4 linked regions of the Lepisosteus oculatus genome follow. The protein of the gene in region 3 interacts with the protein of the main gene of each other region in a biochemical or structural test. Links are inferred from orthologs where the notes say so. Each region holds a gene or a part of one and is shown on either strand. Other genes may lie near its edges.

Region 1 (7,936 bases), on a different chromosome or scaffold from region 3:
AGAAACAACAAAAAGACATTCCAATGTCAGCGATACAAGCAAAACTACGAATCCAGGCAGCGCTGTCGAACTGTACTGAAATTCATTACTGTAAATATTTACGTTGCTATCACAGTCATCTTTACAAGGCTTCACACACCTCATATTTAACTGGGAGTAGCTCTAAACGAGCCGTATGACTACACTACTACCTTGCAGGTTTTCCCAAGTAAAAAGCCCGTGTGTGGCACTGTGTTATTACCTTAACCATCCAGATTCTCGCAGTTTTGCCTTTCTTCTCTTTACATGTGCCACAACCGTTCGTCCCAGTTTGTGTATCCGTACAATTCAAAGACAAAGACAGGTGTCGGCAGGACGGATGACCAGGAAGAGAAGCACTGTTCTTTTCCCCCTCGCTCCCTTTCTTGTTGGACTGCTGCGATACTCGATCTCCGCCTCTCTTCGGGATTCCCGATGGCACAAGTGCTGATCGGCAATCTTCGGGTTTTATCGGAAACCTGGAAGCGATTCCAGGCTGGAATAAAAAAAAGCTTCTGCTCGCATAGGTGTCGACTGCGCCCTGTTTTACTGTAGTTTCGATTTTGGACATTAATCAGCGGTTAGGCAAGCATTATGTCATGTAGAACATACAACCTAACAATAACCGAGATCATATAGCGTCCGTGGAAATAGAGTCTGTGTTTATGCATAACTTAAATTTCTTAAAACAATAAAACAATTATGGTATTTTTGTACAAATATGTCACTATACAGATTGACTGTATTCGCAATTATAATTACTATTTATTTTTTCTGTAATATTTTGTCTTAATTGTTACCTTTCTGCTTACAAAAAAATAATACTTTTCCTGCTGTTTCCTGGACATTAAATTCTGTCTACCTACGTATGTAGCTGTATGAGGATGTAAATAAACATGTATCATTTACTTTCCCTCAGAGAAACATGCGATGATTACGTGTGGTGTTGTTGATTTTTTTTCTCAATATTTTGCCAATAATAATCGCCAAAAGTCCCCGGCATGATTGTGTTTGAAGAAAAGAAAGTTAAATTTCTGAAAACTCATCCAACTATCGTATGAGATTTTGTTTTGTCGCAGGACAGAACGGGTGGAAGGTAGAAGGGGCTCCCCTGGCGGCAATGTTATGTAAATGCTGCCATTTTTCAAAGTGGTTTTGGAAGTGTATTATTAAACGCATTTCCGAAGGGTGTTGTCTTCTATAAACGTGAATTACATTTTGGGTGTTTCTGCAAATTGGTATCAATATAGAAAACTGGAATTCTTTCTGTGATCTTTGATTTTTCTTTTGTTTTATTTAGAACAGTTTATACTTTCTTCTATAGAAAATGTTGGGCATACATAGTATACTGTACATTAAAATGATAATTTTAAAGAACGTTTTTGGAGTTTATTTGAATTAATGGAGTACAGTATAGTTTAGCAGATCTGAAACAGTCATTATGAAAATAGCTATAAGCAATACAATACCAAATTCAGTTTGAGTGTCTGCACACATACAGTAAATACTAGTGTGTGTGGGTGTGTTAGAAAATGTTTAGTTTTGATTACTTAAGGAGCAAAAGCTGCACAGTTACCAATTAGATACAGGCACTATTTAAGCATTTATTTTTAATTAGTACAGTTAATAACATTAAACTCCTATGTTCACCTTGGAATTTTAATTTCTACCACAAAAAGAGTCCTGTTTTATGCTTTCCTTGTTTACTTTTTCATATAACTCTTGCACACCATAAGGCTCACTGGGGAAGACTTGTTCTGACTGCTCTATTGTGTACATTATGTCCCACATCTCACATACTGTGTTCCAGCTTTAAAAAGGGTGGCATTATAAATGAAATTCATGTTTACCTAAATGGTGTATAAAAAGCAGTAATTCTGCTACATTAGAGTGATTAGCCGCTGTGAACCACTTGCCCTTTTCAGCTACTCACCAGCAGACATGAACAAGGAGACCAATTATCTGCTTCTGCATTGAAGTTATTATCACTGTCATCAAAACACAGTTAGGCCCATTTAAGATCACTTCAAAGCACCCCTGTACAAATGATGGCAATTATCCTAGTTGACTTTACTGGGAGTTCACCGATAGACAGGTAAAACATATGACAGGATTTATTGAGCCATTTTCTGACAATCACTTTTACATTGCAATCAAAGCCATTACTGCAAAATGCTGGGCTACATTTAAACATTTCCCACTTACTATGCATGTATACATGTAGAGCGTATTAGATCATTAGTAAGTAAAGAGTCGTAAAGAATAATCAGTTTTATCCATATACTGTACATAAGTAGTTTTACTTAAATTTGAGTAAGATTAGCTAAAACTCCCATACTGTATTCTTAGGACCATAAATTATAATGGCTTCCTTTTTATGATAGAAGCCTGTAAAGATAGAAAGTGCACTTTGTACCCTTAAAGCCAGGACAGACATCTATTGCCTGTATTTTACTCATATCACAGAAAAAAAAATCATAATGCTATGATTAACACAAAGTTTTTTCTAAACAAATATGTATTCTAAAAATTAATACTAAACAACATCTAGTCTATACCCTGTAAAGTTCATAGGTCTTACATAGCCTTCACCAATCAGTGCTACTTAATTTTATGTATTTAACTATAACCAAAATATGTTGTGGTGCTTTAAATATTCGAGACCTTATGTTAATGTAACTAAATCTATGAGAGTATTCACATTTATAAGCACAGATGGTGGACAACCTGCTGTCCACATGGACATCTGTCCACATGTTTTAGTAAAACAACCCTTTAGTGTTTGAACACCACTGCTGGCTACTAGAAGACAAAATACATGAGGAATGAACTCACCTTCTTCTTCCAGTGAGGGGGCTTGTTGATGCACACCTTGGTCCTCCACCATGGCCTCCTGCTTTATCTTATAATCCTCAATTTATTCGCTATTCAATCCATGCAGCATAGAATCATCAAAGTCAAGGATGTACAAACAGCACAGCAAGTAAAAGGCTGTCTTCATCCAATCTCCTTTTCTTTCCTTTCTTTTTCGTATATTAGTTCTCCAGTACAAACCAGAGGAACAGGTCCTTGCACATTGCAAAAGAACAGCTTAATTAAAAGCACACACCCTTTCTGTTGGCTCCTAAAATGTCTAGCCTGCTTCTTTAGGGTTGGAAAACAACACATGCTGAAGTAATAGCTATGCTGGTGCACTGGGAAATAGGTTGAAATGAATAAGAACTTATCATTTCCCTCCTGAAATGAAGAGTGTGGGATTTAAATATGTACCATCTGGTTTTTAAACAGTACCCTACCTCTGTATTCTCTGAAAACTTTATATTGTCCATGAACTGAAAATGAAACACGTTTAGTTGTTTGTGCACTGTGGCATGATTGTATTGGTAGTGATGCAGAGGCTTAGATATTTTTCCAATGTTTGAACATGCAACCAATAATATCTTCTCTATCTGAACATGAGCCTAGGTAACCAACAGCTGTAGGTTTATGTTTAGTCCTTGTTTGGCATATGTGTTATTTACTTGTAGCTAGGTATCAAGAGTAGACGTGAAACTTCTGTGTTGAGAATACCAAAGCTGCTTTGGTTTCTTTGGAAAAGCATGATCTATGTTGTGGCGCTAATGTAATCCCAGAGGACAGTGTGCTATTTCCTCACCTGTTGCAGGGCTGTTTTATGCTGAGTGACACTGACTCAGCCCTGGTGCCGCAATAGATATGAAACTCAATTACTGTAACAAAGGCCTCCACCCTTTCCTTCTTCTAAACTGAAGACACATCTCTGTAGTTTACCACGCTAATTTGTTCTCATCAGTCACATTTTCAGATCAACTTTGACTTGCGTTCTGATTAGACGTCTTATTTTAATGTTTAGGTTGTTCATTTTATAAACTTTAAGTAAGGTCCTGAAATTGGAGAACCTTGAGTCATACCAAGTTTGTTGGGTTCATGAAATGTTTTGTTCACATCTTGGGATGTACAATTTACTACATCTTCCTGGCCCTACGTAAAGCACGTTTTGAGAGTTTTTGTTTGACATCACTCTTTAATTTTGAAGTTTATTTATTTTATTTATGTCACATGTTATGTAAAGCATTTGTGACCATGTTTGATAACAAAAAGCAAAGTGTCTATTATATGTTACTGTGACAGACCATTAGTAATGAAGGTAGTAATTTCTGCTGACACCACTAGAGGTTGTTAAGACCTCTATTTTTGTATGTACAGTAGGTTCACATGGATAGAGTTGATTACTTAATTATTGAAGGTCCAACAATTATATTTAATTTAGATTTATTTGGTACATAAAGGGACTCACAGGGTAAGGGTAAGGTACAGAGTAAGTATAACAGGTTATGTCTGAAAAGAAAGTCTCCTTACACAAATATGTTTTGTTGTCTAATGTGATTTCAATGTGCTCAGGACTCACAAGCCACATGTACACCTTAGATAGTTATGTGATTGAGTCCTGTGATGTGACTGACTGTGTGCCCTCTTTGCTTTCTCATGAACACTTCAGTTATCCATGGATGAAATGGGTGTGATTTTTCAGACTATGTCCATACGTGTATCTCCTCTTGTACTAATGAGAGGAATCTTTCCTGAAGGAACCTGCTCCAAAAGGAATAATTTCTGAGATACTGCGAAATCATGGAAATAGTGTCTTGTCACAATATTCAGAACCTTCCTATGGTGTCCCATTTTGTGAAGTTATAAAATGATGCAGACACATTATTTTCTACGCCAAAAATACAGCCGAAATGTCGTGTTTCTTTTCTTCTCTTTTCAGCATGGAATAAACCTTTACCTTTACAATAATACGTAATGCAAAACCCAAAAGGTGAGAAAAGCAACAGTTAATGTAATCAAATATTAAGAAAAAGAAATGGAATATGTTGATAGTATAAGCATTCAGACCCATGATCTCAACTTGGTAAAAGCACTTTTCATAGAAATTATAGCCACAAGTGCTTTGGAGAACATTTCTACCAAATTTGCTCACTGGCTTGGTGCATTTTTTTGCCCACTCCTCTCTGCAGATTTGGAAAAACACTCTCAGGTTGCTTGCGGATTGCATAACAGCTTTCAAGCCTTTCCACAGGTTCTCATTAGGATTCAAGTCAGGGCACTGAGTAAGCCACTCAAGGACATCTACTTTCTTTTTCTTAAACCTCTCTAGTGTAAATATGAACTTGTGCTTTTGGTCATTGTCTGGCGGAAAGGAAATTTTTTTGCCCCAGTTTTTGGCCTGGAGCAGGTTCTTCTCTAAGATATGCCAGTACTTTGTTCCATCTTTCTTGATAAGCTTCCAAGTCCCTGCTGATGAGAAGCAGAACTAGAGTATAATGTAATGCTGCTACCACTATGCTAGACTGCAGAGTGATGTAGTCTGTTGGGTTTATATCACATGTAGGATTTTACCTTTAGTCCACAAGGTTCCAGTTTTGTTTTGTCTGTCCACAAAATCTTTTTCAGCATCACTTTGGTGCTTTGTTGCAAACCCCAAGCAGAACTTGAGATGGGCTTTCCACTGTGCTGCACAGGCCCGTTTTGTGGAGTGGCTGGGCGGTGACTTTGAAACAGCTACAGAGCTCAGTGGCTGAGATGGAAGGAAAAGTGCATGAGTCAACAAGATGTTGCCATGTTGACTCATGCATTTTTCCTTCCATCTCGGCCACTGAGCTCTGTAGCTCTTTCAAAGTCACTATTGGCCTCATAGTGGCATCTCTAACCAGTTTAATCTTCCTCATCTTAACCATTGTCTTTAACATGCTCAAGGAGATATTAAGGATCACTGAAATCTTTTCATACCCTGCTCCTTATCTGTGCCTCTTTACAACTTCATCCTTAAATTTTTTTAAAGCTTCTTGGTTCAAGCTCTTTGCTTGAAATTCACTATGTGACTGAGGGACTTTGTAGAAATATGTGTATTTATTCTGAAATAATATGAACAACTATTATTGCACACTGATAGAGGAAACTCGACTAATTGTTAAACTCATTCAGGTAATTTTGTGCACCTAAATTAATTTAAGTTTGCACATTGCAAAGTCTTTGAATAATTATAGAGTTATGACTTTTCAATTTTCTCTCATATCTTTTTTATTTCTTTCTTTTTGTTATGAAGGTTAGGAATATATAACAGATATTAATTGCTACATGTAAGCATCAAGACTTTAAGCTTTATAGCAACCAAATGACCAAATGTTAATACTTTTGCAAGGAACTGCATTTTATAGAATGAACTAATATATTTGCCACAGCAATGTGGTATGATGTTTGACCTTTGTTGTGGATTTGGGCACACATTTCCTCTTCTCAATTGCATCTATGATTTTCCTCTAAGATAAACTTCAGTTAAGGATGTATTGAATTAGTTCAAAATATGGTGAAGAAACACAACGTTTACAGTAATAATAATAATAATAATAATAATAATAATAATAATAATAATAATAATAATAATATTAACAATAATAATAATAATAATAATAATAATAATGAAGCCAATTCATAGACAGGGATTATTAAGAGGCCATGATTGATAAGGGCCAATGGGAACTTTTGGCCAGGACGCTGGGTTAAACCCCTACTCTTTACGAGAAACGCCCAGGGATTTTAAATGACCACAGAGAGTCAGGACCTCGGTTTTACGTCTTATCCGAAGGACGGCGCCTGTTTACAGTATAGTGTCCCCGTCACTATACAGGGGCATTAGGACCCACATAGACTGCAGGGTGAGCGCTCCTTGCTGGCTCCACTAACACCACTTCCAGCAGCAACCTTAGTTTTTCTCAGTAACTTTTCCATTTTATTGCACACTACCCCATTGCATGCTGTTTGAACAACAGTGTGTTTTGCTCTTTCCACAGTAACTGGAGAGCATTGGAGAGTCAATGTATCTTCTGGTTTTACCTCCACCTGGATTGCTAATGACCTACTGTAACTTAATGGGACTGATTTAGCATTTCCCCTGGTCTAAAACAGTGAATGATTCACAGATATCCAGATGCTCTGTTGAAGGGAGGACCCAGAGGACCTGAATACCAAGCTTACAGTATCATGTAATGGAGTTAGAACTTATTTCCCAATCTGATTACAGTGTCACAAACATCAAACATTCAGATGCCTTAGTTATGAAATATCCTGCTGCCTGTTATACCAGTCATTCTTTTGTTAACCCCACGGGTTTCCTACGTATGCAGTGCATGATCAAACACAACATTCTTTAGTAATTGCTAGATACACATTTTGGATTCTCTACTGAATGGATGAAGTTCAGACTGGATATCCAGTGGACACTTGATGTGACACTGATTTGCTAGTATGTTAAAAAAGCACTACATTAAAACCCATCATCATGTGGATTAACATAATTCACTTGGTGAATAACAAGCTGACTGTGTGTCAACTCAATTAATCTTACCAAGTATATGTTGGTTTCATGAGGATGATTTTAGTGAAAAATTAAATTTCTTGCTCAAACTAGTTGAACAAAAATTCACAATACTTCATCACATCAACAGAAATATAACATATGTATTATGTATTTGTCAAATTTACTTTTAACAACATTATAATATTATTCTATACATGTTTGTGCTCCTGCAGCTTTGTGAGTAAGTACTGTGCCAAATGCTACAGAATGAATACAGAAAGTCCATGTCTGTAAGGCTTTTACCAAGGCAAAAATGCCTAAAGCACTAAACACTATATTATCTTTGCTGCTTTTTTCTTATTGAGTAGTTGCTGATTAGGACTTTGACATTCACACTAAAATGTATTAATAGACATTGATAGCCTTATACAGTATGTTAATTATTTTATGCTTTACCATGAAGGACACATGCATTAATGAGCATAACCAGGTCGTTCAGCATACGAACACTGGTGACAGACCAGAACACATACTGTACAAGTC
Region 2 (7,901 bases), on a different chromosome or scaffold from region 3:
GAGCATCATGTAACCCGTTGTCACTGCTGACAGATGTGTCATTGCTACCTTTCAGTAGAGCTGGGCCATGATAGAACTAGAACATCTTGATGCAGAAGTGCTGTCCTGAACCGAAAAAAAAACAGCACCTGCCTTATTTTAACATGCTGGATTAAAATAATTGAAATAAAGCAGCAGGTCTTAAAGAACCCACATCCTTGCAGAATTCAGTTTCTTAAAATGCTGGTTGGGAAAAACAAAATCATGCCAAGGAGAAACAATGGATTTAGACAGTCTGTCCCTCAGTGGGAAAGTCCAGCAGGTTTGGCAGGTCTCTTGAAAGAAAGAGGTGGGCCTATCAGTCTACATCAGATGTAACCAACAATCAATATATGACTTGAGCTGTGAATGGACAAGTGATTTGAAATGTGTTGCAGAAGAGAAAGAGAAAAATAGAACTAATTGGAACAAACTTAAGCATGTGTATTCATGCTTAGGGGGTTGTTTTAGACCTGCTGGACATCAAAGGGATGAGGAAAACAAAGTCCAAAACCTTTGCACATATCTCATACATATAATTAAAAAAATATTTGTATTATCTGTGCAAGAACCTTGAATGCAAATTGCCTGCTTTTTATGTTATCAGATTAACAAAAAATACTGTGTAGTAGAAATGTACCTAATTTTTCTGTTTCTTTTTTGGATCTTTGTCAGGCCTGATCAACAGTTAAGAACTGCTCCAAAAATTGGCTTTCGTAATTGCAATACTTGTAATCTGGATAAATAGAACACAGCAGTGACATTTTCTGAAACAGACCGAAAATGATCCAGATTACAGTGAACAGAAACATAAAGTCTATGACTGGTTTACTTTTATCAAGATTATAAGGTGTGCTAAACGCACCCCTGTTCGTCATTCTACCTGAGCTCCCGATGATTTAATCCCACCAGTTATTGGTCTTAATTACAATTGTTTTTACGTGCTTATTGTGAAGTGTGATTTCCCTGTAAGACCTGCTGGGCCATGGTTTTTCACCTCTTCAAATTACCACTTTCGAAAGACTTAGAACAACAATGTTGTGACCAGTTAAAGTGATTTGATACCTTAAGTACCTTGGAAATGAATGCATTTGAATTAACACCCGAACACACTTCAGTCTTCAAGCACTACTTAATTGAATATGTAATGTACTTAATTGATCAGTAATTACATGTGTTTGAAGTCTGTAGAGCACTGCTTTGGTGGGCTGAGGCTCTTCTGATTGTCTTTCGACTTGTGCCCTTAATCTCCTGACTTGTTAAGTGGACCAATTTATTGCTCTACTCCCAAACTAGCTAGATGGGCTGAACAGCCTCCTTTCTCTTGAAACCTTTCTTGTGTGTTTGTGTTATGCAGGACGGGTTATATAAGAGATGACAATGGCTTGACTGGTGCTCTCTAGTACTGTAAGTAAGGAACGTGGTCTAGATCTCTGAAGGTGGGATCCATGCAGGATTGGGTAGGTAGTTTTCAGTTAGTAATTGATAGAGACCTAATAAAACAAGCGATTGGACTTTGTATGCAAATAATGTCTTCAATGAAGCAATTAAGATCTGTGGTGGAATGAAAACCAGAATGCTCTTAGGTTCTTCAGGACTGCAGCTGCCTATTCAGTCCTTGAGGGGGTGTAGGGGGTGTAGCTGCTTTTCGATTAGCAGCTGACAACTTCAATTCAATAATGAGATCAGTGGCCTTTGAGAACTGGTCTAGATGAGAGAGAGAAAGTATACCAGGCTTGGCCAGTTGTGTTCCCTGTGACGCCAAAAGCCTTCACTCTTCTTTTCATTCCAGCTTGATCTCGGTGACTTAATTGGATATTTAACTGAACTACTCATTTGTGTAATGACATGTTTTTCATTGTTCTCAAGTTGTTGTGGTTAGAGATTTCAAAGCACCCTTCATATTTTAATCTAGCCTGGAATCTACACCTTCTTAGTAGCAGGAATGTATAATTAAGCTAACGATCATAGCAATGAAGAATTTTGTTAAATTACTGAGAGATCGGCGGCAGTAAAAAGTAATAGACAGCCCCCAACCAAGACTGGGAAGGTCTGGTGGTATCCCAAATGTCCAAGACATTGTCATTTTTCTAGAACTGAGATTCCTTTAACACAAGCCAAGCATATTCAGTGGAATATGTGCTCCGAGTGACTTCTTTTTACATTTGGGTGAAAACATTGCAGCCACAGTCCTGTCACATTTGTAAGTCCAGCAAATCCCACTGAACCACAAATTGAAGAAAAGTCCTCTCCAACTTGACAAGAAGACATTAAGGCTGAGACGAATTAAAATATCAATTAACCTTTTCAGATTAGGTCCAGTGTTAGCTGGCAGGGATACAAACCTCGTGATCACCAGCTATTGAACCAGGACTGAGTGCAGAGGTAGAAAAAGCTGACTGAATAAATGCATTCAATTTTAGCAATGTCATTGATTCCATTTAACAGTCCTAAATGGGGATCAGGTTTGATCTGAATGAGCTTCAGAAAAGAAATCAGCTTCACCTTCAGCCGCCTGGCACACATTAAAGCTTGATGCTGTAACTTTAGTGTCTTTTTAATTTATAGGACCGTGCGGTTTGACTTTTTTTTTTCTTAACTTTTTTTTTGTCAAGACAGGCTTTGATTCTGGTTGGTTCTGCCATGCAAATTTCCAGTCAAATGCTAAGCTGCAGGTAATTCAAATTGCTCATGTAGTATAGCTTTGACTGACGAATCTGAGAGGTTCGAAGCACAGCCATTGGAAATGTGCATGCCCTGTAATAAAGCGGTGATATTCTTTTTATAATAATAATTACTTACACTTATATAGCGCTTTTCTGGACACTCCACTCAAAGCGCTTTACAGGTAATGAGGACTCCCCTCCACCACCACCAATGTGCAGCATCCACCTGGATGATGCAACGGCAGCCATTCTGGGCGCCAGAATGCTCACCACACATCAGCTATTAGTGGGGAGGAGAGCAGAGTAATGTAGCCAATTCATAGATGGGGATTATTAGGAGGCCGTGATTGGTAAGGGCCAATAGGGAAATTTGGCCAGGATGCCGGGGTTACACCCCTACTCTTTTCAAGAAACGCCCTGGGATTTTTAATGACCACAGAGAGTCAGGACCTCGGTTTTTACATCTCATCCAAAGGTCGGCGCCTTTTTACAGTATAGTGTCCCCATCACTATACTGGGGCATTAGGACCCACATAGGCTGCAGGATGAGCACCCCCTGCTGGCCCCACTAACACCTCTTCCAGCAGCAACCTTAGTTTTTCCCAGGAGGTCTCCCATCCAGGTACTGACCAGGCTCACACCTGCTTAGTTTCAGTGGGTTGCCAGTTGTGATTTGCAGGGTGATATGGCTGCTGGCTTTTTGTATAGTTATTTTGCTGTTTTACATTTTTTTTACTCCAGCATCCAATCCTTATTACAAGGGGGGCTATGAGCCTGACGGGATACCTGATATGGACAAAGCCACCCATTTTTGCATTTTCTTCTTCCAGGTAGGGGTCGTGGGGGAGCCAGAGCCTATCCGGGCAAGCAACAGGCACAAGGCGGGAGGAACTGACAAAGCCAATGAAGGGAATATCATCCAAAACTGGTGCATTTTGATCATGTTTTCTAGCCCGCTACATATTATTTTCTACAAATGAACGGTACAATGTGTGGAAAAAGGAAAGTCCTCGACTCCGTCACAAGCCTTTTGACTTCCCTCTGCCTTTAGCTGTCTGTATGTAGATCAAATTAATCAGTTTTAGACTTTTGTCACTTGGCCCTTGAGCTGGATTTCGTCCTAGCTCTTTGACAGTGTGCGACTGTGATGCCTAATGGGGCAGAACACCATGCGGCAGAGGGCTTAATGGACAATGGCATTGGGACATGCTAACACGCTCCACCACTCTGATCCCCGCTGCCAGAGCTCAGGTGGACAGTGGAGGAGCTGTTGGCTTCCTGTGTCCTCTGTCTCGGGTTCAGGGTTCAGGTCAGAGGCCTTATGTTTTTTTAAAGATATGGGGAATCTGGTGCTACAGACATGCCTGAATGAGTAGACAGCGGGACAACGGTGTATGAATGGATATATACAGTAGGTAATCAGAAGGTAAGAAAGACTTAGAATGATATTAGAATGAAAGACTTAGAATACATTACATTATATGATATATAAAAAAATGAATTGACCCAAGATTTACACCAAATTAAATTCAAAATAAGTAACACAACAGGTTGAAGACTACAATTGCTGCAGTGGACCAGGGCCATCCAGTCTTGGCATTAGCGTTATATAAACTGGCAGTGCTCCTCTCCATATGTGTAATGTCCAGAAAAGAGCGTCACCACATGATAGAGGCTAGTGTACCCAGCTGTGTAGGACTGCTGTATTGCGGCTGCTGTTAATCCAAAGAGCTAAAATCGTAATCAAGTTAAGTATTTGTATATTTTAATTTTTGCAGTAATGCTGTGCATTGTTTGAAAGATGGATATTATGATGATGTCGACCTTGAGTAATGTAATGACAAATGTCCTTCGTACTTCGTGAAGTGTTAGAGGTTATGAACATCAGGCTGCCATTGCTGTTCCTCACCACAAGATGGCAGGCTCGAGACACTACGATACCTTCGCATTAGCAGATAACACATTTACATTATTTCCATTTCCCCGCCTGTAAACTGTACTGATTATAAAAAATATATTTCGAAAACAGGAATTTGAGGCATTTGCATTGCTGTTATGAATTATGATGAGTTTTCTTTGTCGAAAACTGGGGTTATACGTGCTTTTGAAATACGCAGTGCTAGCAATAGCGTAAGCGTCCAGTTAGGTCTGTACTGATGAGGTCTACGCAAATTCTCTTGTTGAAATAATGGGACGCTTCGGGGCGCAAAGTACAGGACTTCCTTAGGTATCCTGATGCGGGACTAAGGCAACAGTGTTAGTATTGCTGTCTAACTGTGTAGTAACTGAATAACAAGGACTCCGCTGAGAGTCGGTGGAATTGCGGACAACAGCGCATTTATTAAACGTGGTAGGTGTCTGGAAGACGATCTTCCTCCTGCGGTTTAATACAAAAAAGCACTGAAAAGCCTCCGGTTCTTGGCTCGCCATTCACCTGTGGTGCAGAACGTCGTATTTCTTCTGCTGTCCTGTCTTCTCAAGGTGCGATCTTTTAACGTTTTGCTAACTTAAACCTATACTGTGTAGTCGAGTAGAATTTTTTAAAAGTGTTGCGTGGGGTGAGAGAGAACACAGTAACCTAGTCGCTGCGAAGTGTCCTTTTAATTTTAGGGGAAAGGTAAGGACTGACAGGTAACGCGGATTTTACAAATATTAGTACCGGAGTAGTATTAACAAGTGAGACAATTTCTGGAACATTAGCAAATTATCGCGGTGACCAGTGACCAAATATTTGCTCAAATTCCCCTGCCGGTGAATCTCATTTTGACGTTGTACCAGACTGATCTCCTCTTAAAAAGAGTCTGGATAGAAATGTGTGCAGGGTGATAGAGGGAACACGATACGGTCCTTGTACTCGGTGAGCAGCACCGTGTTCGCCTGTGATGAGCATGATAATAATAGCATGAGGATCGAAGTGCACGGTCGGCACTCAAAGGGTTAGCCGTGCTATCTCTCTGTGTTACAGGGTAACAACTCGGAAGACCCGCCCAGCTGTTTTTAGCATTGGCTGGCCCCCAGTGTTTTTACTCCCCATCCTTCTCCGCGATTGGTTCGAAACAACAGCAGTCAACCGCGCCTTGCCCACCCCAGCACTACTAACAAGGTGAAAATGACTAAAAAAGTTCTGGAATCATTTCCCACTCCGGGCTCGTGGGAGGGAGGCTGCCGGCGCTGTGACTGAGCTAGCGAACCCGGAGCCGCTTGCTGGAAGAGGCAGATGCGCGGCGGTGCGGTCGCCACGGTGGAAAGTGCTCAGCAGGATTGTGGGACAGATTGAGAACAATCCTCCGGAAAAAAACACACACACGGGCATTCCGAGTATTACACACAACAGCACTGCCTGCGCCGGCCGTGCCCATTTCACAGGAATGCGGCTGCTGCCAAGTTAAAAACGAACAGGTGCGTTGGACGCGAGTGACGGAAGGTTTGTTGTAGACGCGGGGCAATAATAACGTGAAGCTCAGTTTGAAGTTGGAAGTGTTTTCTTCCTATGCCCCTGCTACACCTCCAGCTGATATAGTTTGCAGGTGCTTTTGGAATTCCGGCGAAACTGTTAAAGAAATTGCGTGGACTTGGCGTAGTGACAGCAGTCCGATTCATTAATCAGATCGTTTGATCAGGTTGAGGCCAGTGACTACCTTGTAAACAGCGACAAGAAACTGAGCCGATCGATTGTTAATTCCTTCTTTGGATAGGACATTTGCTCATTGGAGTACAGAAATCAGCTATTTGCATTTATTCATTGTTTTTTTTTATGTCTAAGAATATATACACAACGCCGTGAGAAGCATCGCTGGAGATCAATATAGACAGGATCGGACATGCACGACTGATTGAAAATAATGATCTTCTGGCAGCATAATATTATTTTAATTTGTTTCATTGCAATTTGAAATTTTAAATGGGAAGGCTGGATTATTTACGTGCTGCTTCAGCGAGCCACAAGCTTGAATGATAGCATTTTATTTACAATGAGTGACGGTCGGAGCACAGATGATTATCCGTAGCTAAAATTATATAAATAAAATAAATATTAAAATCTTCACTATTGGAGGAATGGAATTAAGAGACAACAGGAGGCTTACTTCGTTTCGCAATCAACATAATGCAATTCTAATCTTTTGTTTAAACGTGTCGTAGGAAACTAGAAAATCAAGTAAACAAACAAAACGCGACTTTGCTTTTTGAAAGCTTTTAACGGGGAGTAAAACAACATGTCCAAAACATTGAGGAAGAAGAAACACTGGTCCAGCAAAGTTCAGGAGTGCGCGGTGTCCTGGGGCAGCGCCGGTGAGTTCAGCTCGGTGGTGGAGGTCCTGGGGGGAGCGGAGCTCGGCGAGTTCCCCCACCTGGGCCAGGTGAAGCTGGAGGCGGTTGTCTGTCACTCCGGGAAGCTGCCGAGCCCCGGGGACGTGCTGCTGGAGGTGAACGGAACCCCGGTGAGCGGACTCACGAACAGGGACACGCTTGCAGTTATCCGCCACTTTCGGGAGCCGATTCGTCTGAAGACCGTCAAGCCAGGTGAGTTTTTATCACTAAGTGAACTGTTCGCATTTTTATACGCTTCTTCAATAAATCAAATATACTTGTCCTCTTGTCAGTGCGAGTGATTAATCGTTTCCCTATCATAACCCAGTTTTATTCCCTTTATGGTTATGCTCATTATTAGTTTTTATTTGGATTCTTTAAACTAACAACACGGTCTAGTTGTATTAATTATAGTCTGCATTTGGAAACTTGTGCTAATTTCATGCTCTGTGGTTAAGATATTGCATGGATCTCGCTCTGAGTGTTTTGCCTTTTCTGTCTCAAGTTGATCCTGTACCGAGTTGTTGCCATGAGGGCCTGTTGACCGAACGGCTATGCAACAGAGTGGAACATGTAATAATACGGACTTTGCTACAGCCAAGTCAGGGGTCAGTGGCCGTTCTTCTCCGGTGTCGCAAGGCCAGCCTGCGCTGGACGCAGTCCTGTTTAATTGGACTGAGATTCAAGACAGGGTTTTAGTTAATATTGTGAACACCCCTCAGACTCGCACTGCGTCTTCGTGCGGTTATCGAAAAGCCCTAGCTCTCTCTAAAAACCCCCTCACGTACAGTATTATTAAAAACCGGCTACTAGTACTAGCGCAAAAGGATACATTCGACAACTGTATGCTGGTATATATTGTAGTATTTACCCCGCTTACTGATGATACCTTTAAGATTTGTGGCACGT
Region 3 (7,018 bases):
TCAAATAATTACGTAAGGTAACCTCTCATTAATCACAAATTGTTTAAGGCTTTTAGAAAGAGCTGATTAATGGCTACTTGTAAATCCTGCTTATTAGGGACTAGCTGAACATATACAGTAGCTTTGCTAATATTATTATTTTTTTCAACAATAATTTTCTCCCAGTTATCACACAAATGACTTGAAATCTTCCACAGTATTTTATCCCTAACTAACCAGTTTTCTGTATTGCCCTGTTTCCTACATTTATCCTGAAAGGGTCTCGGTGCAGTTGGACCCCTACCATGCCTGTGGGTGTATATTTTCAGTTTTGACATGCAAAGAGGCAGCCTCACTTCTTCCAGTCAACACACAAAAAAATTTGAATTTATTCCAGATAATACTATTTGAAAAAGTAACTGCAGAAACCTGACAGAGAGTCTTATTAGCCCAGTGGCATTCAATAGTGTTTCCATAACAAATAGCATTCGATATAACTCACATCATTTCTAGTCTGAAGTGAGGAGCCCGCAGTACACATTTATGCTAGCTCGTGGCATAGCCCTGGGAATCCTGATCTGGCTGAGTCATAACCCTCATGCGAATGAAGATCCTGAGATTCCTCGAGGCTTTCGGTAATGATGGAATAATCTCTCAACATCACTGAAATTCTGTACTGGATTTCAATGTATTTTTGAAACACAAAAATATTAGTTTGGTGTAGCATTGGCGGCACAGTGTTAAGCATTGTTGCCTTATAGTGCCAGGGCCCTGGGTTCAATTCCTGGGGTGCTGTCTGTGTGGAGTTTATATGTTCTCCCTGTGTTTGTGTGGCTTTCCTCTGGGTGCTCCGGTTTCCTCCCACAGTCCAAAGACATACTGGTAGGGTAACTGACTTCTGGGAAAATTGGCCCTGGCGTGAGTGTGTGTATCTGTATCTGTGTGTTGCCTGCGATGGACTGGCATCCTGTCCAAGGTGTGTCCCACCGTGTGCCTATTGCTTGCCAGGATAAGCTCCGGCTCCACTGAGATCCTGAATTGGAAGAATCAGTTAGAAAATGAAGGGACAGAAGATCAGTTAGGTCTCACTGCGATTCATTATTTCATTTTTGTCATTCTTTTTTCTTCTGTGCAATTTCTGCTCAGACCGGTTTGCACTCAGCTCTCAAGACTCGAGAAATATACTTAATAAAATAACGTCACAGATGGGAGGATACCGTTGTGCCAATCTGTCCTATTTGTTGCTAACAGTTAAGTTATTCTGAGGGTCTCGTCCAGTTTTCATCAAAGAAGCCTGGTTATTGGCTTCAAACCCATTGCAGAATACCTTGTTCCTGACTCCCACAACCTGTGTCAGAAAGGTGCATCCTGTCCTCATGTGAATTGCACTTGCTTGTGCTCTGATTTGTGTGTTACTGGTGGTCTAGTCCACTGGGGTTTTGGAATTCTTGAATCAGGTCCCTTCGCAGTCATCTCTGTTCAAAATGTAAAAATTGTGAATTGTGAATTGTGGGAATCTACAACACGCTTCCCAGGCAGGTGGCTAAGACCAAAGCTCTTGGCATTTTAAAGAACAAGCTGGATGAAATCTTAGTTTAAATTTACTAAACTATCAAACTCGGAAGTTGGATATTTGATATTGCTTGCATTCTTTCTTATGTTGTTGCTTAAATTATATTATGTTAAAATATTATTTTAACTTTTAATTTTAAGTGTATAACATTCCTGTGTATAAGACCAGGGGACCAGGGATGTACTGATCACAAATCTAAATGTGTTATTACTAATGTATTGTACACATGTAACATAATATCCCTTTAAATTTCTCTTTGTATTTTTTAACTGCATATAATTGCATATAGTTCTCCCGAGTTGTCTATATTAAATACCAGAAGGTGTTCCACCAGGTTTGATTTTATACAAGTTATTTTTTCATTTCCTCTGCTACTTCTACAATCTTTGCTCATCTTCCCATTTTCTTATTTCAGCTGTGAACTTGACTAGTTTACTGACTATATGCCAATCAAGTTAACATAGGAACTTTGCTGATTTATGAAAACTTTGGACTCTGTTTTAGTAGTCATTTCTCCATCCAAACACAAGCAATGTGTTTGATCTGAGCATTAATCCTTTTATTGGGAACCTCATAAAAGGGCTTTTGAAAATCTAAATATAGAATAAAACGTGTTCATCTTTCATCCATTGCTGGTGTTACAGTACTTCTCCAAACAACTCTAAAGTGCTTTAGTTAGCAAGACAAACCTCTTGCAATCCATGTCAACTATCCCTTATAATCCTACTACCATACAGTCAGTCCTCTACTGTAATCTGATTATATTCTCCATTGGCTTGGGTTCCTTACTCTTCTTGTGAATGGGTGCTATATTTCAATTTTCAATATTTCTCTTCTCTTGAGAGATTTTTGTTAGCAGTGTATAATAAAAACCACTTTCTTTCTTTAAGTATGATTAATAGAATAGCAGAAGGCCCTGCTATTTATTAATGTCTGCCTAGTGTGCCTACATTGTCTCTTTTATTATAGAGCTTTGTCTTTTCTCAGCCTGAAGGGTGTTGTTGAAGATTATTCCCTGGCATTCTTCTAGCATCGAGAATCGACACTATTACATTAGCGAAGATGTGATGTCACAGATGCAGGAGCTCCGGAATTTCTGCAGAACCAGAGCACATTGCTTCAGTGAGCAATTTCCACTGGTGAGGATCACCATTGGAAATGTCTGGGTGTTAGCAAGATCTCTCTTGCTCTACATCATACTGCTGGCTAGGGTCCTGTTATTACAGCACGTTACTGACACCAGTGATGTGACTCTTACCCTCGAGTAAGCACTCTAAATTATTTTCTGTTGTAGCAGTTTTATACAACTACTACTAATAATAATTGTTAATATATTTGTTATATTAATTTATTATTAAGGATTAATTTTGGTATTATATTTTTTATTTAATTAATGATATTTAAGCAATACACAATTATTACTATTAAATAATAATAATAGACTCTTAGTAGTAGTAGCTGCTGTAGTTTATCATTAGTAGTAACAGTAGTAGAGGAGGGTAATTTGGTTTTATTCTTATTCACTCCTAAGGACAATGTACTGTATAATGAGGGAACCCAAAAGTGTCGACGGGAAGCACTTTCCTGGGCGACAAATCGTGATCGGCAGCTCACGCTCAGAAGAAAAGGGGGAGACGTGCTTCACCAATTGAATCACATTGGAAGCGAAAGCAGGAATGTTATTGAAGAGCCCCCTTTATGAATGTATGAATTTCAAATGGTCTAATCTTTGAGGATTGATTGCCAACAGAGGGCCCCAAAGGATTCGTTTGTTCGTGAGAGAAGCTAGTGAGCGATAGTTCGCCTATTTTTTTTTTAATATCGAGGCAGGAAGAAAAGCAGTGTGTTATCATTAAAAAGAGATCCGAACCGGTGTGGGACTGAGTTGTCCCCCGTTTCTCTGAGCTGTTCATTCATTTCTTTAAAAGACGGTGCTCTCTTCCACTGCTGGCTTCTGATGTCCAAGCCGGGGATACTGAAATCTTCCCCAAAACAGCTACATTTCTGAATGAATGCAATATATTGATTAATATTTCACTAAATTAAAAAATCCACACTTCACAAATTGATGGTAACAGTTAAGTTGCATGCTATTGATTTTTAACACGCGATGAAGGCAACATTAAGTAAATATTTGTAACTAACATTTTTGGAAATTAGAATAATACATAGATTTTATACGGAGATATTTGAAATATTCTTTGGGAGGGATTCCGAAGACTGGCCACTATCTTAAAAAAAACAAAGTTATTTGAACGTTTTTATTTGTTTAATTTAAAAATAAAATAAGAAAGACTACCATCTCCGGACTGGCGACATTGCAAATACCCTCTAGTATTCCCCTGTTATCTCCCCCCATCAATTCAGTCGTAAGGAATAGCTGTCCTCGCTTGCACCACGTCTCCGCTAGAGGGCGACAAACGGCCCGGACGAGCCGTGAAAGGGGTAGGGTGAAAGCTGGCTGGAGGCTGCCAGTTGCGGAGTCAGAGATACACGGCGCTGCGCTCTCGGTTCGCAGCGGAAAGCGTCTGACAACCTGGGTTAAGCTCCATGCAGCTGTCGTAAAACGCCTGTTTGGAAACAACGCATTGCAAACCTCTGGGAAACGATTTGCGAATTTATTATCCAGAAAGCGATTCCTGGGGCGTAAAGACCCAGGGCTGCTCAGGTGCGAAGTGCCATCGACCTTGGAGAGCTTCGGCTACATTGTTTCTTTCTTGCAAACCTGTACGTACCTGCCTAGAAAGAGCCCGCCGAGTCACACCGAAGAATCATCCCCTTGCTTGCTCGGGCTAACACGGGAGACTGTATCCGTCTGAAGCTCGCAGGAGGACAAGTGGACAAGTGGAGACGCCGACGTCATTTTTAAAGGGGGATCATTATTGTTTGTAAACGACTGGGTTATAGAGGAGCTGCTAGGAGGTTTTGCCAACAGATTCCCACGGTAGGATCCTGTGAGCGAGCTTTCCTGCTAGCAAGACGTGGACTGCAAAAAAAAAAACCTCGGGAGTTCTAGCTCAGCCTGGCTTCATTAGTGTAACGATTTCTACGGGTGTTTGGGAAGATACGGTTTCAGGATGCCACTCGCACAACTTGCAGACCCATGGCCCAAGATGGAGCTTGTTCAGCTGGAAACCGAGGTAAGAATGCAGCCGGTTCGCTTGGCGTTGTGAGTCAAGTGTCCCCCCCCCCCACTTTCCCATTAAGTGCTGTGGAAGCCAGGTAGGCACACGTGGGGAAGAGGTTACAGCACTCGAGGAGTAAACTCCATAAGTTCTTAATTTAGGTGTTATGAAGTAATGGTTGCATAACAGCAGAGCGTTTCCTATAGCACTGCGATAAAAAAAATAGATTGAGTGGGGGAAATAAAAAATATTAGGCATTAACAAGTTTTAAAGAATTTAGGAGAAGATGTAAACATTTGAGCGCAGAAAGTTTGAGGAGTATGTGATTTTGCCACAGTTAACACCGAGTCCCAGCAATGTATATTAAAGTTTTGTGAAAAGTTTTACTTTGTCTAGTGTGTGAATACATTTGAAATCCGCTTGCTGCAGAAAAGCCTGCAGCAAGATTCATCCAGATAGTTGTACTTGCCACTACCATCCCAGGCTCATCACACGCCTGGTTCGAGATTGCATTTTATTTTTTTCTAATGTAACCTTTAGCATTAAACAAGTTCTGTTGTTGTTGTTTTTTTCCACTGAAGCTCGACCCGTTGATAGAGCAACTTGGGGTTGTCGGTTGTACAGTAAGTGGCAGAGCTGGTGCGCTCTTCTGCAGCCGAAAGTCCAGATGTGTCGAATCTACAGGTGTCTAGAACAGCGAGGTGCTGTAGGAATGACGGTACTGAAGTATAGCGTTAAATCGAATATGGACTAGGGACGATTAGACTGAATTCTGTTGGTCCTGAGAGCTGGGTTCCTACCTACATATTGTATACAGAGCCGTCCGCTGTACTGGGTGTGGTTATTCCTTTTAAAGGGGTGGTGAAGACGACTGCGTTATCTGATTGACGGTGTCATCCTTATATTTGTGAATCGGTTTGAATCACGGCCCCTAGTTACAAGTAAACTCGCTAATCTCTCAATTCCCTTCTCCTCCAGTCAGTGTTCTTGGCAGCCTCGCCAGTGTGTCTAATCGATGATCCGTTTGACTGGCCCGATTGCTGCTTTCTTCCTGAAAATGCTTGGGAATGCAATGAAAATGCTCCAGTATTAGTGCTGGCAGTCAGTGTGGCTGCTATGCTTTCCAAACAGAGCTTTTGGGACTGCACAGAATTATCTTTTAACAGCCGTAGACTAGTCTTGACAGACGCGGGGCAGAGAAAGAGCCTATTTCTGAGTGTTTTTCCCCTGTGTGTTTATTGCATGGGCTCCAGCTTTTCTTTTGTACGGCCTGATCGACGGGAGCTCTCAGCCTTTTATAGTAAGTGGAGGCGGACAGGATCGTGACGGAGGGCGATCACCGCTAATAAGGAGCCAAGATTTTAATTACCCTGAAGTTCACAACTGTGATTGCAACAAATAATGTGAAGGAGGTTGTGGTTGAGAAAAGGTTGTGTCTTTGCTGTACAGTAGGCTGCACATCCCCTGTAATATTTGTCAAAGCATACAGAGTCCTCAACGAGGCTGTTAGATTTTACACTATACTGATCGTGGGATTAAAATTCCCTTGATTTCTGGGGACCCCCTGGATAGTGTCAAAGACGCCCAGGTTGACAATTCAGTTCTGAAAGGTTTCACTAGTGATGATGAAGGTGTATTTAGTGGGGCACATTGTTGGATGGGTAGGTCACGCCTTTCCTCCTGGTGCAGAAGTTCCATACTGTTTGCCAAGTAGGGGACAATGTTACGGTTGGAGCCAACCTTTGGATGAGTTGACCTTAAGTTTGAAAATGACCTGGCTTCTGGTAATTAAACTAGATAACTGGAAAAGTGCAGAGCTCCTGTGTTCTGGTAGAATTCATTTCAAACATTTTCTGTGCCCCCGTGTTAAATGAATTGGCTGGGACATCCCAGCGTTATCTACCTTTTGTGCTGTCATTGAGCTTCTGGTGTACAGTGACTGTGCACCTCAGAGGAGAGAGGAGAGAGGGTTGAAGTACAGTACCCTCCACCCAGCTGCATTATGTCTGCAGAGTGCAAAGTGCCTTTGTTATAATTCTCAGAGTTATTAACTTTGTGGCAGCACAGTGGTGGAGCTATTAGCAGAGCTGGGGCCCTGGGTTCACTTTCTGGAGTGTTCACAGTGGAGTTTGTACAGTATGGTGTTCCTGTGTTAGTGTGAAATTTCTCCGGGTGCTCTGGTTTCCTCCCACAGTCCAAAAACCTGCTGGTAGGTTAATTGGCTTCTGGGAACATTAGCTTCAGGAGTGAGTGAGTGTGTGCGTGGCCTCTGTTGGACTGGCCTCCTGTTCAGGGTATATCCTGCCTAACGCCCATTGCTTGCTGGGATAAGCTCTGGCTC
Region 4 (7,828 bases), on a different chromosome or scaffold from region 3:
GTCTCACTAACACCACTTCCAGCAGCAACCACAGCTTCCCAGGAGGTCTCCCATCCAAGTACTGACCAGGCTCAACCCTGCTTGGCTTCACAGGGTGATATGGCTGCTGGCTTGCACAGGGTTTATACCGATTACAAATCTCACAAATCACTAGGGGTACCCAAGAGTCCAGTTAAAAAAAAAAACAGCAAACGAAGGAGGTAATTCCTAGACCAGGACTGACAGCTGGGAGCAGCAGACACTGAGTGTGTGTAGTCCCCCACCACCAACACCAGTCCATCACAGAGCGCACACACACACACTTTACTTAACTATGCAAATTAATCAGCATGTAATGACATGGGAAGAAAATGCACACTCCACACAGAAAGAGCCCCAGGCCAGAATTCAACCCTAATCCAAAGAGCTTTGACATAGAACTCTAACCACTACACCACTGCAGTGCCCACAAGAACAAGTCTTCATTTAAGAATCATCCCAGTGACCGAGTCTCCTTCTCAAACAAAACATTAATTTGACCTTTTTTTTTTTACTATGCAAAAAGAGTTTAAGAAGACTTAAGCATACTGGAAAAATAACCGTCACGTTACATATAAATGCATTAAGAACTGTTTTTTTATTTTCTCTTTTATTACTAATTACTATTATAATTACTAATCTACACTGAGAAAAATAATGAAACCATTTCGTGGCCTAATGTTCCCTATATTCCACCTGTGACGGTGAAAAGAGGAAAGGCAGACCAACTACTCACACCAACACCTGTGTCAACGAGTTTAGCAGATTCTTTCCGTCTCCGCTGCAAGGTTACACCAAATTCAAGGGAAGCCGGTTATACCTGTGCACATACCAAGGAAAATAACTAGATCTTATCCAAATGGCGAAAAAACATCAATAAGATGTTAAAGAGCTTCCATTTTGATCCACGTCTATAGTGTAATCACTGTCCTCTAATAAAAACAGCGTCCGCAGGGCTTTGTAAATCTTTAACGACTCGGCTTTTTTGCATTCAATGAACTAGCACTAGTTTAAACCATCTACATCATTTTTTTAAATTTAAATATGCTCCAAAGCAAAACAAATTGGCCATATAACCAATGGCTAACTGGTTCACCATCCTAGGTTGCTCATCGTATTTTTTTTTATTGTTGCTACCTGTCTTGACGCACTAAATCCTGTTCCAGCATGATTAACAGGGGGAAGATAGTTTTACTGAGGTTTTCAATACAATTTCGCAAAGCTGGTAAATCGAAATTTTAAAAAAATGTACGAAACTAAAACCACAGAGGATCAGATTAGCAAAAAAAACAACAACATCAGGTTTATAAACCAATCAATATAAAATGTTTTTATCTATGTTAAATTTAGTTCGACAATCAAAAGCATATTGATCGATTTCAGTTCCTTCTTATTTACCGTTTTAAGTAAGACAACGGATGGGATGTTTTTATGCCCCTCGAGTCGTACAGTAGATTTCCTCCTTTGCATCCCATAAGATCAAATACAGGAGGTCGCACAGTTAACACCAAATCCCTAGCCTAATCTTATTAAAACGTGAAAATATCGAAAGTAATCCTTTCAGCTCTCATCAGACAGACGTATCTGAACAAAACACAAGGTTTACCTGGCAAAATTATTCTACACAGGAAGTGATGCCAACTTAAATGGCATTGGTGCTCTGTAAATTTCCGCATATTTCTCCAACAAAACATTAAGACCAGAAAGGAAGGGGTTACTCAAAACGTACTCTTACGGCGTAAATCGTAATTTAACAGAGTAAAATTACAGCAGTACTGTATTATGCAAATTATATATATACCCATTAATATATCTGACAGCTCCTGTGGCTGTGGCTTTGTTTCGTTCTACCAATAGAGGCGAGCAAACCGAGACAAATAAAACCATACAGAATTACCCTTCTAATTACACAGACTCCAAAAACACGAAAATACTAGTAGAAATTAATAAAATCCAAAGATCTACCTCACTTTCACGTGTTTATTATAGAGACGCATCTGATACTACATTTGGGATGCGCTAGTAATACTAGTAGTATTAAACAAAGGGGGTTTACAGTAAATACACTGATGATTAAAAATCCCCCGTGGAAAGCATCCAGACAGCGGTCACATCAGATTCAGTCCAGAGTCTCTGGAGTTAAACAATAGCTCCTCTGTTCCAGTCTGCCCCCTTTAAAACCTCCAGTGGCTGCGGATTCCAGCTCAAGTTTACCACCACCATTTCACACACCAGCCAACGACATTACTGGGGTGGGCGGAAACAGGGTTAAAATGATCCTTAACCCTTTCCGAGTTTTCCGAGGTCAAATGATATCTAGATCAAACTTTGTTGTTTTTTCCCCCCATCTTCTAAGTGTTTTTGATTAAAACAAACTCAGCGGTACACATATGTTACCTTAAACGTCAGGTTTCCAGACACCTTCTTTCATTGAAATTGCAGCTCCGAAAGTGTTTTAAATCCACTGTTTTGTTTACTTTGGTGCAAATCGTCTTAGGCGAGATAGCTTAAAAACCTCTACTGCATCCATCCACTCATATGACATTAAAGCTCTCAAAACACTGATCACATTGACTGTGCTTCTTCTCCAAGTGCAGTGTTCTCGCCAAAAGTTGTCTTTCGTGTACTTTAGGTTTTTTTTTGCTTCGGGGAAGTAACTTCCTGTTAGCAGGGTAGCACAAAAAAATAAAATTACTTACATCCTTAATTGAAAAAACTTTAGTAGTTCAAGCCTGACAATCAGAAAGAAAAAATCAAAATGTCCACAAAGCGCAAGTATACAAAAGGCGAAAAAATGTCCACCGCTCAGCGCAGCTCCAGAAGACGAGTATTTCTCCTTTTTTCAACCCCAAGCTTGAACACAAATCCTGTTAAGCCTTTTTTTCTGAAAAGGGGACGCCGCACCCATATGCATTCAAATCTGACACCCCCGCCAACTTCTCATTAATGTGAAAAGGCTACATGTACAAACAGATTCGCCACAAATTCACGCACAAACACGGGGAGAGCTAGCAAGCAAGCAGCACAACTTGCACTCCGGTACGGCGTAATTCATGCTCTGGCAGCGATCAAGTCCCAGCCAGCCGAGCACAGCAACAGCCCAGCAACACAGACCAGACGCCTAGGTAAGTCTGATTGGGGCTGATTGGTTTCAGTCTGACTTCGAGATCAGGTAACATAGTGACGGGCAGTACAGTACAACCAATGCTAGCTGCATATCTACCATGTATAAAGCAAGACCGCCAATACCCAGTGTGGAGGCGGGACCCCCAAAACACACAGCATGTTTGGTTGTTTTCCTCCTTTTCAGTTGCTGTAAGAATGAAATCAAAAGTTAGAAATGTCAGCAGGAACTGACTAATTGTGTCGCCTAACAGCGTGTTAAGCTTTGTTTTGATTTTGGGCATCCTTACTTTATTTCCTTATGTCAAAATAATGAAATAGTTAAATTTTCTTTAAAAACATGTTGTGCAATCCAAATAAAACGATATACGACTGTGAAACAGTAGCGTGTGTTATCCGAGGCACTGCTGGTGTATGTTTTGTGCACACCAGTTTTTCCAAACGAAATGTGAATAAAAATCACACGGCAAAACACCTGCATCTACTTTGCAACAGGATGACTTTAATCAAGTCAATCGACCAGAATCCAACTAAACACGATGATGCCCATCTACATCTTCTGTCTTGGACTAGTTAATCATGTAGGGTCTGATGTATTCATTCCACTTTATGGCCTGATTCATTCCACTTTATGGGCTTTTCAAATCTGAAAATTTCGGCTCCACAGCCGAAACGTGTTTTCTTACTTCTCTTTTCAGCATAGAATAAACCTATTACTTGTTCCTTTGCAGCCTACGCATGCTGGCGCAACTACCCACCTGAACTAAGAATAAATAGGTTGCGGATTTCAATGGTGCTGGTGGACAAGCAGGTTTCTCTCATCCCTCTATTGAGAGTTTCAACAAAATGGCAACAGTAGGGAGCTGTAAGACGTGAATCCTAACTGTTGTTAAAGTGTTTCTGACTACTTGGTCATTAAAAATCCCATGGCACCATTGTTTTATTTTAAAACAAACGCAAAACTATTGTAATAAATTATTTACGGCGCAGCTCATTATTCCCATAATTTATTACTATTTTTAAAACGAAGAATTTTGATGTTTAACCTAAGTCTCTCAAAGAGCGATGTGTGGAAAATAGTCAGGACATGTATATACAGCCACTAGTGGGCGATAAACTCCTAGCAGCTGCAATTCGTTTTAATAAAATACATGTACGTGCCTATAAAATAAATAAACGATTCAATTAGTATCAGATGTCTATTGCATTCCTCTCTGATGATGATTATTATTATTATTATTATTATTATTATTATTATTATTATTAAAAACAGTCAAGCGATACATCAGTATCCTTCAAGAGTCATTAGATTTAACGTAGTCTGGTTTCATAGTTTGAGTCTGGCCCTTCTTTAATCGAGTTCTCCCTGTCTCCCAACCTCTGACAGAAACGACGTCGATCCGAAAGGTGCGCAATTATCGGAGATTTTGGTTGCAAAGATTATTTCTTTTGGGAGAGAAGGAGAAATATGAAAGGGGTTATCACGCGTTTTGGCTTGACAAATAAATGCCCAACAGATGGGAACGAGATCGGTGTACCCCAAAACTTGGAGACGGGAGGCATACGGTGCAAAGATCCCAAGAAATATATGCACTCATTCCTTGTTAAACTATTTTACTTTAGAGTACTCGCTAAAACAAGTGGTACACAGACCCGTTTTTGTTGTGCGAGTTAAACGTCTTATTCTTAGAATAGCATGTTTATTCTTGGCTGCTCTTAACAGAAATTGTAATGCCTTATACCATATATGGTGTAGGATAATATTTCTAATGTATAATTTGTAAATAATATCGGTTCACAAACTCTAACATGCTATAGAACTAAATTATTTGTTTTGATTATTCCCCCTATGCGTGCACGGTGTCTATCACCAGACAGCTTGATGTCTTAATAATAAAATTAAGAGTTTTATTCTTTGTACAAGGTATAACTAACAGTTATTTTGTTCATATCGTATTGTTCATTTGTGCTATATAGGTCATGCAAATCTTCCTTCCACATAATTGCTTCCTAATATTAAACATAACAGCTTGCATAAAAAGTGTTGGTAAATTATTCCCGTTGTAATGTACTTGGCAGTTTATGGTTCGAAAATACAAACAGCAGGAAAATACCAAGACACGTCGGTTCGTTTTCTGATAGGAGCACTAGAAATGAATCGAAGACTTGAACCCCCATTTTATTTTAATGGTAATTGTCACTTACGCGTTTCCATTTACGAGCTGACATTTTTGGTCCTAATGGCAACAGCGAGGGATGTGTGTAATACTAGTTCTGGTTGCAAAATGGGAATTCCCGGGCGTTTGTTTAGAGGAAAAACTTTATTGGATTTTTACTTAATCCTGGAAAATACGTCAATATTTGTAAAACCCTCCGATTTCTATACATGCAGTAAACTGTCCGGTCTCGGAGAGACACGTTAGTCTTAACTGCTCCATAAAGTGCCAGGAACTCCGGTTCTTTTTTAAGCTGTTTCTGTTCTGATCTTTCCCTAGTGTCTCCGTTTTCATTCGAAGATAAACAGTTTACATTAAAGTTTTCCAATAAATCTCTTGTATGGGTCTAAATGACACTGGCGGCTCAACCAGTAAAGACCCGTTTAGAATGCAGATTGACTTTTGTGGCTCAGATATTGCTGGGGTGAAGCTCAGTCATCTTGGAGACAGTGCTTCTCTGGGGAATTGTGCACAATTAAGATTACTAGTGGAGTGTGGGGTGTTGCCCAGACTGCAGTGACAATCCTAAATAATTGGGGTATTCTGGGTATACTAAACAACTGCTTTCTTTTTTTAATAGAATTTAACAGAACAACATGTATTGTCTCTTAAGATATTTAGGTATTGGATCCCTCGTTCTGCCTTTGAAAAGGCCACTGAGCTCTGAGACCGGGTCATGTCGGAAGGAGACTGAACCAGGATACCCCAAGTGGGTGCACAGATGGATGTGCCCCTCCTCCAGTTTGCACTGATCAGTAAGCATTAACCGAATGGCTCGGATGTATCTACCTACACTTCCTTAGTCTTCCCTGTGTGCAGTTGTGTGGATAGGAGCTACAAGCCTATCCATGGGAAAAGCCCTTGGCTAATCTAAATTGAGTTGATGCAATGCTGATTCTAATTTTTTTTTAAATGCCAGTATTTATTTAAAACCTATGACATGTCCTTACTCTTACAAATAAATAGTTAACATTTTCCACAATGTTGTTAAAATAAAGAAGATTGCTTTCCCATCTATGATTACTGTGTCACGATCGTAAGTCCCTCCTCTTAAGGGCTCTTCGGCTCTTTTTTGTTTCTGTTGATTTTTTGCACCTGCCTCCTATTCCAGCTCCTCCCTTTAAAAGCCAGACGCTCCTACCAGTCTGGGCTCAACTTTGGAAGATGGACTCCCGGAAGCCCGCCTACCAGCAGGTCCAGGAGTGGCCCAACAGCATAGGCTTCGCAGCGGTGTCCTGACCATCTGGGTCCGGGGCCTGGAGCGCCTGGACCCGTTACCCCTTTCTATTTCCCTGTCCCTTCACCGGATCCCGCTCCGGTTTTTAACTTTTGTCGTGTCTTTCATGGATGGATCACCCAGCTCACTCTGGATTACTCTTCGGACTCCCCTTGGACTTTCGCCTGAACCACGTCCCCCGAGCACCAGTGCACCGTCGACGCGCCCCCCCAGTTCATCTACCAGCCCCGTTCCTAGTCCTCTCTCCCCCATGTTTGTTTCACTCCCTTCCGGATTCTATCGTCTGCGTAGGGTGTTGATTAGCTCTTTGTGACATATTGTACACTGTGCAATCCATTCCTTAGGGTAGTCTTCAGCTTTGAGTTTATTTAGGACTAAATTGCAAAGCAGTTCTGCATCTCTATGTCAGTGGGTACTAACTGCCCCCCTAACTATTCCTAAATGAGTGGAAGGTGCTGTAGTATGTGCCAGTCAGCACATAGTGGAAATGGGTTTGTTTGCCAGTTGTGACCCCTTTGGAGTACCGTTTGTGTTTAAACGTCAGATAAACTCATTTACATGAACCCAGTGCCCCTAACTATAATGCCTAATTTACCACTTTAATTACAAAACAATAATGTTTTTAGATGTTTATCACTCACTTATGACATGCCAAAAATGTCTGGTTTGAAAACACGTGTATCCAGTGCCAGATTACCCATTAGGCACAGTGCCTAGGGCCTACAAAGGAGGAAGACCCTAGTGACTAGCGAAAAACAAGCTGAAACAACATGCTTGCGACCGACTATAGGTGCTCCAAATTAATAATCATATGCTATCTAGCTGCTGTTCTAGAAACTAGAAGTATAGAAGGGATGGTCGCTCGACTTGCTCAACTCGCTCAATCATGAGGTTTAGCATTAGAAAAGTTTAAAGTGCATCATGTCAATCAACGTAATTCAATTGGCATTTACTGTACCCCTCCTTTTGCACATTTCAGAGCAAAAGTGCCTGGGGCATACGAACACCAAAATCCTGCTCTGCTTGTATCACTATCCTTTGTCAAAGAGGCAACAAAGGAAAAATGAGGATGAAGTAAGATGAGCTGTTTGGCTTACACAGTACAGATGTGTGGTTTGGACCACGGATTGTGACCTGTTGACGAACATTCACTACTGGTTTATGAGACAGCTGGGTGTGGTTTCCCTATGTGGCATCGCACAGTTGGCCAAGAGGGGAGTGTACAAGCTGCAGG

Evidence for each region.
Region 1: the proteins of rps6ka1 (region 3) and ptpn3 interact in a test that uses a peptide from one of them, tested with the Homo sapiens proteins (2 studies listed by BioGRID and IntAct). The link is inferred for Lepisosteus oculatus from reciprocal best matches to the Homo sapiens genes RPS6KA1 and PTPN3.
Region 2: the proteins of rps6ka1 (region 3) and magi3a interact in a test that uses a peptide from one of them, tested with the Homo sapiens proteins (2 studies listed by BioGRID and IntAct). The link is inferred for Lepisosteus oculatus from reciprocal best matches to the Homo sapiens genes RPS6KA1 and MAGI3.
Region 4: the proteins of rps6ka1 (region 3) and erbin interact in a test that uses a peptide from one of them, tested with the Homo sapiens proteins (2 studies listed by BioGRID and IntAct). The link is inferred for Lepisosteus oculatus from reciprocal best matches to the Homo sapiens genes RPS6KA1 and ERBIN.

The regions. Positions count from the first base shown.
Region 1 is NC_090705.1:23,825,703-23,833,638, forward strand, and holds the start of ptpn3 (tyrosine-protein phosphatase non-receptor type 3), read right to left. Parts: upstream 3,017-7,936; 5' UTR 2,906-3,016; coding exon 2,854-2,905; intron 536-2,853; exon of another isoform or gene 242-535; intron 1-241.
Region 2 is NC_090700.1:34,829,271-34,837,171, forward strand, and holds the start of magi3a (membrane-associated guanylate kinase, WW and PDZ domain-containing protein 3a), read left to right. Parts: upstream 1-4,890; 5' UTR 4,891-5,034; exon of another isoform or gene 5,035-5,165; intron 5,166-5,649; 5' UTR 5,650-6,898; coding exon 6,899-7,205; intron 7,206-7,901.
Region 3 is NC_090706.1:11,002,555-11,009,572, reverse strand, and holds the start of rps6ka1 (ribosomal protein S6 kinase alpha-1), read left to right. Parts: upstream 1-4,014; 5' UTR 4,015-4,629; coding exon 4,630-4,692; intron 4,693-7,018. UniProt on the Homo sapiens protein: Serine/threonine-protein kinase that acts downstream of ERK (MAPK1/ERK2 and MAPK3/ERK1) signaling and mediates mitogenic and stress-induced activation of the transcription factors CREB1, ETV1/ER81 and NR4A1/NUR77, regulates translation through RPS6 and EIF4B phosphorylation, and mediates cellular proliferation, survival, and differentiation by modulating mTOR signaling and repressing pro-apoptotic function of BAD and DAPK1.
Region 4 is NC_090698.1:27,933,530-27,941,357, reverse strand, and holds the start of erbin (erbin), read right to left. Parts: upstream 3,017-7,828; 5' UTR 2,718-3,016; exon of another isoform or gene 2,416-2,717; intron 1,657-2,415; exon of another isoform or gene 1,417-1,656; intron 777-1,416; exon of another isoform or gene 755-776; intron 1-754. UniProt on the Homo sapiens protein: Acts as an adapter for the receptor ERBB2, in epithelia. By binding the unphosphorylated 'Tyr-1248' of receptor ERBB2, it may contribute to stabilize this unphosphorylated state.